3 linked regions of the Macaca fascicularis genome follow. The protein of the gene in region 3 interacts with the protein of the main gene of each other region in a pairwise test. Links are inferred from orthologs where the notes say so. Each region holds a gene or a part of one and is shown on either strand. Other genes may lie near its edges.

The links.
Region 1: the proteins of CYTH4 (region 3) and FOS interact in a two-hybrid assay, tested with the Homo sapiens proteins (2 studies listed by BioGRID and IntAct). The two-hybrid records come from large-scale screens. The link is inferred for Macaca fascicularis from reciprocal best matches to the Homo sapiens genes CYTH4 and FOS.
Region 2: the proteins of CYTH4 (region 3) and CNKSR1 interact in binary tests that used the Homo sapiens proteins (3 or more experiments, as listed by UniProt). The two-hybrid records come from large-scale screens. The link is inferred for Macaca fascicularis from reciprocal best matches to the Homo sapiens genes CYTH4 and CNKSR1.

What each region holds. Positions count from the first base shown.
Region 1 is NC_088381.1:143,230,198-143,234,014, reverse strand, and holds the start of FOS (protein c-Fos), read right to left. Parts: upstream 2,293-3,817; 5' UTR 2,138-2,292; coding exon 1,997-2,137; intron 1,243-1,996; coding exon 991-1,242; intron 556-990; coding exon 448-555; intron 331-447; coding exon 1-330. UniProt on the Homo sapiens protein: Nuclear phosphoprotein which forms a tight but non-covalently linked complex with the JUN/AP-1 transcription factor. In the heterodimer, FOS and JUN/AP-1 basic regions each seems to interact with symmetrical DNA half sites.
Region 2 is NC_088375.1:208,959,225-208,963,041, reverse strand, and holds the start of CNKSR1 (connector enhancer of kinase suppressor of ras 1), read left to right. Parts: upstream 1-1,461; 5' UTR 1,462-1,520; coding exon 1,521-1,572; intron 1,573-3,817. UniProt on the Homo sapiens protein: May function as an adapter protein or regulator of Ras signaling pathways.
Region 3 is NC_088384.1:14,388,339-14,391,938, forward strand, and holds the start of CYTH4 (cytohesin-4), read right to left. Parts: upstream 2,490-3,600; 5' UTR 2,393-2,489; coding exon 2,374-2,392; intron 1-2,373. UniProt on the Homo sapiens protein: Promotes guanine-nucleotide exchange on ARF1 and ARF5. Promotes the activation of ARF factors through replacement of GDP with GTP.

The sequences.
Region 1 (3,817 bases), on a different chromosome or scaffold from region 3:
TGATGCTGGGAACAGGAAGTCATCAAAGGGCTCAGCCTTCAGCTCCATGCTGCTGATGCTCTTGACAGGCTCCACTGAGGGCTTGGGCTCTGGGTCATTGAGGAGAGGCAGGGTGAAGGCCTCCTCAGACTCTGGGGTGGCAGCCTCTGGCAGGCCCCCAGTCAGATCAAGGGAAGCCACAGACATCTCTTCTGGAAAGCCCAGGTCATCAGGGATCTTGCAGGCAGGTCGGTGAGCTGCCAGGATGAATTCTAGTTTTTCCTTCTCCTTCAGCAGGTTGGCAATCTCGGTCTGCAAAGCAGACTTCTCATCTTCTAGTTGGTCTGTCTCCTGTATACAGAGGGAGAAAGGAAAGCATAAGAAACAGTCTTACTCAAGGGCCCTTATGCTCAATCTCCAACTTTCCCCTTAAGTTTTAAAAAGGAGCAACCCGCAGAGTCTACCTACCGCTTGGAGTGTATCAGTCAGCTCCCTCCTCCGGTTGCGGCATTTGGCTGCAGCCATCTTATTCCTTTCCCTTCGGATTCTCCTTTTCTCTTCTTCTTCTGGAGATAACTAGGATAATCACAAAAAAAAAAAGACCGACATTCAGTAAAAGTGTCTGCCATCACCTCCATTCACCCACCCCAGTAGAACTGGCTCCTGCAGCTTCCCTACTTCCTGGCATCCCACTGTGAAACCATTTCTAACCTGCAGTTGCAGACTAGGTGTGACTTGCATTTAAAATAAGATCCTCAGCAAGAGAACAAAGAAGAGCCCAGTCTAAAAGCATGCGGTAGGAAACTTAGGGAAGAAACTATGAGAGTACTTCTTAGGGTGAGACTCAGAGTCTGAGTTGGGATGGAATGGGCTTGGAGCCAGGGTTCCCAGTTAGGGATGTGCAGCCAGCCCCGTCAGGGGCTTAATCCTCTCTGCTGTGCTCCTCCACCTCCAGGGCCGCTTCCCACCCAGCCCCCACCTTCCCAGGAAGGGTAGGCTAGAGTTCCTCACCTGTTCCACCTTACCCCTCCTGCCAGTGCTCTGCGCTCGGCTTCCTGTCATGGTCTTCACAATGCCAGCCCTGGAGTAAGCCCCAGCGGAGGGAGTGGGGACTCCGAAGGGGTGAGGGGCTCTGGTCTGCGATGGGGCCACAGAGGAGACGAGGGCCGGCTGCACAAGCCACTGCAGGTCCGGACTGGTCGAGATGGCAGTGACCGTGGGAATGAAGTTGGCACTGGAGACGGCCAGGTCCGTGCAGAAGTCCTAGAACAAAACAGAAGGGGAAAGCCGACGTGAGCGAGCAGATTCCGGACACAGGTGGGGCGAGTTGCCGGTGCCGCATGCAGTAGCGAAGAGAAACGATCCTGCCACGGACGTTTCATCTTAAATGTCCCTCATCCTGGATGAAAGGTCTCCCCCTTTTCCTCCCAGGCATTCCGCAGCGCAGTGTCTGTCTCTTCCATCCTGCCGCTGCGTTCCCGTTATCCCTTCAGCATCACTCGCTTGAAAGGGGGTTTGTTATAAATATCCCTGACGTCTGCGCTGACGCAGGCGCCGCTCCGGAGTCTCCAGAATGAACTCGCTTTTTATCAATGAAACTGCCTTACACACCCGCCCGCTGCACCCTCCTCCCTCACCCCTCCTCCCTGCTCCAGGCTGCCGGGGGAGGGGGGATTGCCGCTTTCTGCCACCTCCCCAGAGAAGCCAGGCTCTAGTTAGCGAGTCTGTGCTTGGGAGACGTCTGCCCCAGCTAATGTCAGAGATCCGTCCTGGAGTGCAAACCAGACGTTGCTCAGAACGAACCTGCCTCCGGAAGGGGGAACAAATTCTTACTATGGCAAGCTTGCGTGCGCTCAGAGCCAAGTCCCGAGCCCCCGAGCCGGCACCGCTCCGGCCACTGCAGCCTCCCTCCAGGCACAAGGGAGCCCCCTACTCATCTCCTGGAGCGTCCCGCCCGGTGTCTCCTCCTCAGCGACCCCAAGCCCCCGGCCCCGCGGCGGTGGGAAGCCAGCCTTACCTGCGCGTTGACAGGCGAGCCCATGCTGGAGAAGGAATCGGCGGGTGAGTGGTAGTAGGAGAGGCTATCCCCGGCCGGGGACGCGCTGCTGCAGCGCGAGGATGACGCCTCGTAGTCTGCGTTGAAGCCCGAGAACATCATCGTGGCTGTTAGGCAAAGCCGGGCGTGGGGCCGAGGGGCGGAGACAGGTGGGCGCTGTGGAGCAGAGCTAGGTAAGAGCGCGGTCACTGCTCGTTCGCTGCGCCGCGGCCGCCGGCTCAGTCTCGGCTTCTCGGCTGCTCGCTGCAGATGCGGTTGGAGTACGAGGCGCCGCAGCCACTGCTTTTATAACAAGCGTTTTATGAATGAGTGTAAACGTCACGGGCTCAACCACGGTGGCGCCAGAGGGGTGGCGCGCGGGCCTGAGCGCCTCTGCCGCCGCGTGGCTGCCTCCCCAGCGCTCGCAGCTCCCTGCCTGTGCCTTGGCGCGTGTCCTAATCTCGTGAGCATTTCGCAGTTCCTGTCTCAGGGGTCTCGTGGGACCCCCAAGATGAGGGGCTTCGGGGATGGCTCCCCCCAGGGCTACAGGGAAAGGCCGTGGAAACCTGCTGACGCAGATGTCCTAATATGGACATCCTGTGTAAGGGGGAGGGATTGACGGGAACTGCTCGCGGGCTGCAGCCAACAACGAGGGTGCAGCGCGGGGGGAGGCGGGGGCCGCGGCCGGGGGAGGGGAGGCGGGAACGGCGCAGAATGCTAGAGAACATTCGCACCTGGTTCAATGCGGACCCTTGTTCCCGAGGTCGGGGGGGATGGGGCAGAGAGCGCCTCTTTACCCTTGTACGGAAACTGAAGACAGTTCTGAGGCTCAGGAATAGGAGAAACGGCCTCGGGTACACGGCCCCGAGGACTTAAGCCTCGGCTCCCGAAGGAATGCGTCCCTACCCCCATCCCCAATTCTAGCCCTAATTCAGTGCAAAACGAGGAAGCAGACCCTCACCCCTCTCCTCCCGGGCTCGAGCAATGCTAGCACTGTTCCTGCGTTTGGAAGCAGAAAGTGGATCCAAAATAACAGAATACGATAACCTACTTTACGATACTGGGTACTTTATTTATTTACTTATTTTTTCTTTAAGGAAGACAGCGCATTTATTTATTTATTTTTCTCGGCCATGTGTGGGAATATTAAGGAAACTGTCAAATCCCTGAGACACCAGCAGATAAACACTGTGCGACACCTACGTGCGAAGACATTTGAAGGGGGTGTCTGCCCGGTTCTGAGCTGGGCCCCGGGGGTAGGGAGTGCGGGGTGTGGTTATGTGGGCAGGGTGGTCAGTTCGGGATGACAAGGCGGGGTGTGCTTCCTGCGGGGAACTAAAATCTGAGCTGGGGGGCTGGTTCGGTCCCGCCAGGAAGCTGTGCTTACGGGAGCCCGCAGCGGGTGATTTTCCAGCGCGGACTTGGAGAGGGGAGGACAGGGGCTGGAAGGACAGTGTCCAGCAGCGCCCAGGCGGAATACCTCCACCGCTGGGACCCCAGGCGCGGCTCCACGTCCTGGAACACCGGGCTTTGGGGAGGCAAGGTGCTCCAGAGTGTGCCACGCCCCCCAGCCTCCTGCCCTGCTGCGTAGGACAGCCGGGGTCACGCTGCCCGGGCTCAGCCCCAGCGCGCCGGCCACCTCCAGGGTGCGAAGACGCATGTCCCCGCACAGCCCCGGTCTCCCCTTCCCCACTCTTCGGGCCCGGGGGTCGGGACCCGCGGTGAGCACCTGGAGAGGGGCGAGGCAGGATGAGGCGGGCGGGGGGATAGTTCGGGGCGCGCGGTGAGCCGGACCGCAGACCT
Region 2 (3,817 bases), on a different chromosome or scaffold from region 3:
CACACTGAGGTCATTAAAAAAGGAAAATTTAACTTTTGGCCAGTCTTGTTAATGTTAGTAAACCCATAATATCATAAATTTCTGGTTTTATTTTTTTGAGATGGGGTCCTGCTATGTTGCCCAGGTGGCTTTGAACTCTGGGCTTGAGTGATACTCCCCACCTCAACCTTTCAACCTCTCAACCTCTTGAGTAGCTAGAACTACAGTTGTGTGCCAGCGCTCCCCAGCTCCAAATTTTTTTTTTTTTTTGTGGGTGTTTTTGTGAGACGGAGTCTCGCTCTGTCACCAGGCTGGAGTGCAGTGGCATAATCTCAGCTCACTGCAACCTCCGCCTCCTGGGTTCAAGCGATTCTCCTGCCTCAGCCTCCTGAGTAGCTGTGACTACAGGTGTGCACCACCACACCCAGCTAATTGTTGTATTTTTAGTAGAGATGGGGTTTCACCATGTTGGGCAGGCTGGTTTCCATCTCTTGACCTCATGATCCACCCGCCTTGGCCTCCCAAAGTGCTAGGATTACAGGCGTGAGCCACCGCGCCTGGCCAAATTTGTTTTTAAATATAGTTTTGATAATTATTCTCATTGTAATCCTAAGAATTTTGTTTTGTGCATTTGTTTATTCATTTATTTATAATATAGAGTTTTGCTCTGTTGTCCAGGCTGGAGTGCAGTGGCATGATCTTGGCTCACTGGAACCTCCACCTCCTGGGTTCCAGCGATTCTCCTGCCTCAGCCTCCTGAGTAGCTGGGATTATAGGCACCCACTATGCCCAGCTAATTTTTTGTATTTTTAGTAGAGATGGGGTTTCACCATGTTGGCCAGGCTGGTCTTGAACTCCTGACCTCAATTGATCCGTCCGCCTCGGCCTCCCAAGTCCTGGGATTACAGGCGTGAGCCACCACGCCCGGCCTGTTTTATGCCTTTATAAGCAGCTATTCTGAGAAAGCGTTCACAAGCCTCACCAGATGCCGGAGTCCATACTGCAAAATCAAAGGGAGGCTAAACACCCCAGTTCTAAAATGTTTTCAAGCTATTCAGATACTGTGCACACCTGCCCTTTGAAGTAAGGTCTATTATATCTCCTTTACAGACCCAGAAACGGAGGCGCAGAAGTTATGGTCAGCCCCAGGTCACACAGTTAACAAGAGCTGGCCTAGGCACCCAGGGACCTGGCACCCTAGCCTCCGTGCTTTGCTACTGAGCTTAGCACTCCTCTTGTGGCTTTTTCTTGAGGAGCCCAAGGGTCAGCGTCCCACCCAGCCATATGAGGCCAGTGGCACTGCCCCCTAGCTGGGGTGAGATGCCAGAGCCCTAGGATGCCTGAAAGGCTGGGCAGGAGGCGGATGGGCGTCGGCCAATGGCTGTCGCAGCGCCTCACCTGGCCGTCTGTGTGAGCCCAGGTATGCAGTAGGCTCCGCCCAGGACCCAGCCCGGCCCCTCCTCAGGCCTGGGCTCTGGGAGCGGAAATTCCGGCGCCAGCGGGGCAATACAGGAGCTGATGCGAGCCGGCAGCGCTGGGCCATGGAACCGGTAGAGACCTGGACCCCCGGAAAGGTGGCAACTTGGCTGAGAGGTGGGTGGGACCGGGGTAGAGTTGGGCTTGAAGGGGACTAGGTATGGGTCCCACCGGAAGAGGGAGGAGGGGAAAAGGAAAAAGAACCTGTGGACTGGGTGCGGTGGCTCACACCTGTAATCCCAGTACTTTGGGAGGCCAAGGTGGGTGGGTCACGTGAGGTCAGGAGTTCAAGACCAGCCTGGTCAACATGGTGAAACCCTGTCTCTACTAAAAATACAAAAATTATCTGGGGGTGGTGGCAGGTACCTGTGTAATCCCAACTACTTGGGAGTCTGAGGCAGGAAAATCGCTTGAACCCAGGAGGTGGAGGTTACAGTGAGCCGAGATTGCACCGCTGCACTCCAGCCTGGGTGACAGAGTGAGATTCATCCCCAAAAAAACACAAAAAACAAAATAACCTGCGGGCTCTATCAGTCAGTCAGTCAGTCAGTCAACAAGTATTTACAGAGTACCTACCATGTTCCAGGTACTGTGCTCGGCAGAGAGACAAATGAGATGACCCCGGGGGCCCCAAGGACCCAGAAGGGGGCCCCTCATTGTGGCAGCAGCCAAAGAGGCCTCTAGGGTGGTAATGGGGAGGCGGTGTCATGAAAACAGGAGGGAGGCCTGGCAGGCCCAGGCCTACTGTATCTTCTTTATCTTCCCTGGCCCCAGGGCCAGTGGGCTGTTGTTAAATCCATTTCTTAGAGTCAGAAACTGACGCACAGAGCCAGGAAGTGATTTGCTCAGTCTCTGGTGTCATTCTGCCCCCTCCACACCCTGAGCTCCTAGTGACAAAAGCAGAAGGCCTAGACTAGACTGAAGAGGTTGACACAGCCCCACCCTGGGGCTCCTATCCAAGGGGCAAGGTGCTGTCCAGGCTCAGCGAGCCCAGACAGATGGGAAGCAGCACACCCCACAGGCAGACTCAGAGAAGGGCCTCCTGACACGCAGTGCAGTGCAGCCAGGAGCAGGCAGTCAGGACACGCCTCCCAGAGCCGGGAGCTGGAGCGCACTAGACAGGCTCAGGAGGACCAGCCCAGGTAAGGGCAGGAATTCAGGGCTGGGTTCAGACTCCCAGGCTGGATTCCAGGCCCACCCCCACCACTTGCCAGCTCTGTGACCGTAGGTCTCAGTTTTTCTGCCCATCAAATGGGAAAGGCAACTCTGACCTCATAAAGTGGACAAAGTGAGACAATCATGACACAGCTCATTTGTAGCTCAATTCCTGGGGCTATTGTGAGGGCAGCAGCCGAATACAGTCACCATGCAGGAAGGAGGTGGCTCAGGGACCCATAGCCAGGGAGTGACAGGTTCATGAACTCCCAGTCCGGTGCTCTGAATGTGACACAGGGAACACACACACACCCCCCCCCCCCCAGTGAAGGAGCCTGGCTCAGGAGGGGAAGAATTCCTTTGAAGAGTGAGCAAGCTACTTAACCTCTGTGTCAGTTTTCCCATCTGTAAACAGGATAATGATAGTCTTTACCTCCTAGAAATGTAGTGAGAATCAAATGTGTTAATATGTGTAAAGCTCTTATAGCTTTGCATAGCACATAGTAAGCCCTTGATAGACACTTTTCTTATTTTTGAGTGTCTACCTTGTCCAGGCACAGGCTGGGGGTTAGAGACAAATGGTTATCTAAGGCCTGATCTTTGAAGAGCCTGTGATAAAATGGGAAAGACCGATGGTCAAGTGCAGGGGTTTGTGGAGGCTCGGGGGCAGTGGGAACAAGAGGAGAGCCCCCCACCCCACTCAGCCTGGGAAGTTATGGAAGTCTTTCTGGAGGAAGTTAGCTGAAAAAGGAAGTGAAGGAGCTAGAACAGCAACACCAGCAGGAGGAATAGCACTCTAAGGACCCTGAGGTAAAAGGGTATTCCAGGAGCTGCAAGGAATTAGCTCTGTGCATCTGAAGTGTTGAGTCTGGGGGGCTCTTCAGGATATGATGCTGGAAAGGGAGGTGGTAGCCTAATCATACAGGGCCTGTAGATCATGGTAAAGTCTGGCAATAATAATACGATGGCTATTATTGACTTGTCTCCCACGAACCAGACAATGGCCAAGGCCTTGACATATGTCGTGTCATTTAAAACACACATGATTAGAAGGTAGGTACTTTTATTATTCCCATGTTACAGGTGAGAAAACTGAGGCACAGAGCAGTGCTATTACTTGCTCAAGTGTTCACAGTGTCTCAGTGACTCCACGGCCTCTTGTTCTTATCCCCTATATTGTTAGTTCTCAAACTTAAGGGAGCATCAT
Region 3 (3,600 bases):
CCTCTCCCCGAGCCGAGCTGGCTCTATTTTTAACTGCACCTGCCTGTCTTATCTGCACCAGCGCAGTGCTCATCTTCGGCCACACTGGGGCTTTGCTGTCTGGTGCTCTCATCTTCCCGGCAGGCCTTGGGGGAGGGTGCCTTACCTGCTTCCGGACACAGGCCCACCTCAGGAGAGGAGGGGAGGCAGCCCTGGGGAACCCTGTGTCACCAGCCTGTCCATAATAAAGGTAGGAAAACTGAGGCCCACAGAAGGAAGAGACCATGACCACTGGCAGGGTGGTGCAGAGCTGGAACCTGAGCGAGGTCTGGCTAACTCCCAATCCCCGCTTCCCCAGGCCAGGCCAGGATGATGGCACCCACGTAGAGATGACAAATCGGAACTCAGAGAGGGGAAGTCACTGGGCCACGGAGAAGCCCGAATTAAGACCCAGTCTGGGCAACGGGGAAATGACCTTTCCTCCCTCCCGCTGGCCTCCTCCTCCAGGAGGTCTTCCCAGATCTCCTCTGCCCCAGTGGGAAAAGTCGCTTCCTCCCATCTCTAAGCCTGTGTCCATTTGCACGGCTGGGTCAGGGTCCTGCCGGATCTGACTCCTGCCTCTCCACCCCGCCCCCAACGTTCCAGACCAACACCCGTCCCCCAAGGTTAGGCCCATGGCTGGGTCACTGCTGTCCCCAGCACTCCTTAGCACACTGAAAGGTCGTTTGTAGAGTGAATGAATGAAAAGACCAACTACTCAATGGAGAACCAATTGACCCCATTAATCCATCGCTGCATTGACCCCAATTAATTCATTTCCTCCCTAGTACCGGCTGAAGCAAAGCAGATTCTCCCCTCCCGTGCCCTCTCCACAGCCCCGGCCAACTTGGGGCTTTCTCCCTCAGGTTCTCAGCCCTGCTCTGCCGCTGACTGCCCGTGTGACCTCAAGCAAGTCAGTCCTCGCCTCTAGTTCACCTCTGGGAGCCTCAGTTTCCTTATCTGCAATATGGGGACAGCCATCCCTGTAACCTTAGTATGTTAGGACCCCAAAGGACAAAGTGCCCTGCTGGACACACAGGCGGGGGTCTTGCATCTCAGTGGGTGCCCTCCCCGCCTCATCCCCACCCTCCTGTCTGCTGAGAGGCCTGAGTCAGGTGCTGCCCCTTGCTGGGTCTCCCTCCCTGTGCCGACCAGGTGTCCCCCAGCTGTGCTCACTGAGCTGTGATTTTGGGAACCTCCAAAGCCCACAGGAGAGGCAGGGGTCAGAGAGTGAGCCCGGGACAGGGAGTCACGGCACAGGGTTTGGTCCTGCCCCTGCCGCAGAGAGGCTGTTTTCCTCGCTTGGCCTCTTTTCTCCCTTCTGCCACTGGGGGGCTGTTGAAATGGATCAGTGGTTCTCTAACTGTGTTCCCTGGTGGGGGAGTGGGGGAAGGGGGATGCCCAGTGGGCGGGGCCAGGCTGCTCCATGTTAGGTGCATTTGAAGCCAGGGTGCTCCTGGACAAGGCTGAGGTCATCTGGACCTGGGGAGCAGACAGCTCCCACCAGCCTGTAGATTCTGGAATTCCAGCAGCCGTGTTCACCAGAACCGTTGCAGCTCTGGAGAACACTGACATCCAGGGTACAGAAACTTGGCCCCTCTTCTGGGCCTTCGATTTACCTCCCCAAACACAATCCTGATGTTCTTTTCCTCACCATCTTTGCAGCCTCCTTTCTCCTCTTTCTCCCCAGACACATGGTCCTAGTCCCTGGGGAGGGTTTCAATCAGAGCCTCTGTTGCTCACTCCCGGCCCTCCCCCGGCTCTAGGCTGCATCCTCAGCCTCCCCAAAGACCACCCCAACCCCCGGCCAGAAAGGGACCTCAAGTCCCTCGTATCACCCAGACAAGCATCGCCGTCACCAACATCACATCATCATCTTAATCACAAGTCACTTTTCTCAGTTCACCTCTGAGCCTTTGGACTGGCCATTCCTTCTGGCTGAAATGTTTGTTCCTTAGAAGGCCCCTTAGCTGATACCGTCCTCAGGTCCCTCATTAGACAGCATCTTGGGGCCTTTTCCACCATGCACTCCCCTCTTCCTTATCCTGCTTTACTGTTCTTCATCCTACCTGCCACCAACTGACGTAGGGCATCACATTAGAGTCACTGCCTGTTTCTCCCTCTAGAGGACAAGCCCGTGAAGGGGGGAACAGCGTCTGCTTTGCTCACTGCTGTGTGCCCAGCCCCCAGAACACAACTGGACACCTAGGCTGAGCCCACAAATGTTTGCTTCGCACAGCTGCATTTTCCGCCTGTGCTGTATTCCTTTATCTAGGACCCTGTGAGGCAGGGGCTGCCGTCCCATTCTAAAAGAGAGCACCCTGAGGCCCAGAGAGGTGGACTGCAGTTGCTTACCTGGGTGGCACAGGTCCATTCTGACGCCCCTGGGGAAAAGATGACCCGTGTTCCTGTCGCTTGTCAACCCAGCTGCTGCTCGGGCTGACCCAGCAAGGATGCGTCACCTTGACTGTAACGGGCCCCTTCCTGCTTGCCCCGCCCAGCCCTGTGTGGGGAGGAAGTCAGTCCTGGCCCACTGGGGTCTCGTGTGCAGGCTTTTGACACAACAGCACTTCCTAAAAACTGGCAGAGTTTTGAGCAGCAGGGACCTTTGCCAGAGAGGGACAGAGGTGGAAACAAACAAACAAACAAACAGATGAAGTGAGGGGAGGGCCACATAAAAAAGAGAAAGACAGACAGAAAGAAACACCCAGACGCATATGTACACACACACGTACACACGCACAGACACCGAGGGTGATGTTCACTGAGGATGAACATTTTCCAGGGAACCATGGGCATTTACCTGGCAACCTCCTCACATGAATGCCATAGGAGCACCCAACTTGGACAGTCCTAGCAGGGCCCCCTCTGTTCCACCCCACAAGCTCTCTTCCAACTCCCACTTAAGAAAAGACAAATGAATTCAGTGCTAGGAAGGACTTTCCTTCCCTTCAAAGAAATATCTGGCTTTTTCTTGTCTAGTGAACAATCGGGTAATATGCTCCATTTTCCTTCTCCCCCAGGCTGCTGGGAAACTCATCGTCAAATCAAAAGCTCATCAACAGCTTTTCTATGATGTCGTGTGAACTTTGGGGACTGACTCAGCTGTTTGACTCTCAGCTAGGGCTAGTCAGCCTCGCTTTGCTTATCTGTGAAAGGGGAATAACACTAACTCGGGGATATGGAAATGATGGAGTGAGAGGATGTGTCAGAGATGCTTGGGACATAGTAGGTGCTCAATAAACACTTTCTCCTTTGATTCTAATTTTCTTCTTTGGTTAAAATGTATCACGTTATTGCTTGTGTCTTTTCTGGCAGGTTGGTTCAAATCCTTTCTGGAAAAAGCTGTGCTGTAAAGAAACAGGTATAAATTAAATGCAAATTCCCTATAACTTCAGGACACATGCAGATTTGTTCATCTGCTTCCCCATTACTCTCCAGGTCCCATGAGGGCAAGGTTACCTTTTGTGCTCTGGTGTGTGGTAAAGTGCTGGGGACATAGAGGGTATGCAAGCGTGGAATGAATGAATAAAAGAATGAATGAATGAATGAATGAATGGAACATGGTGGAGATCACAGTGA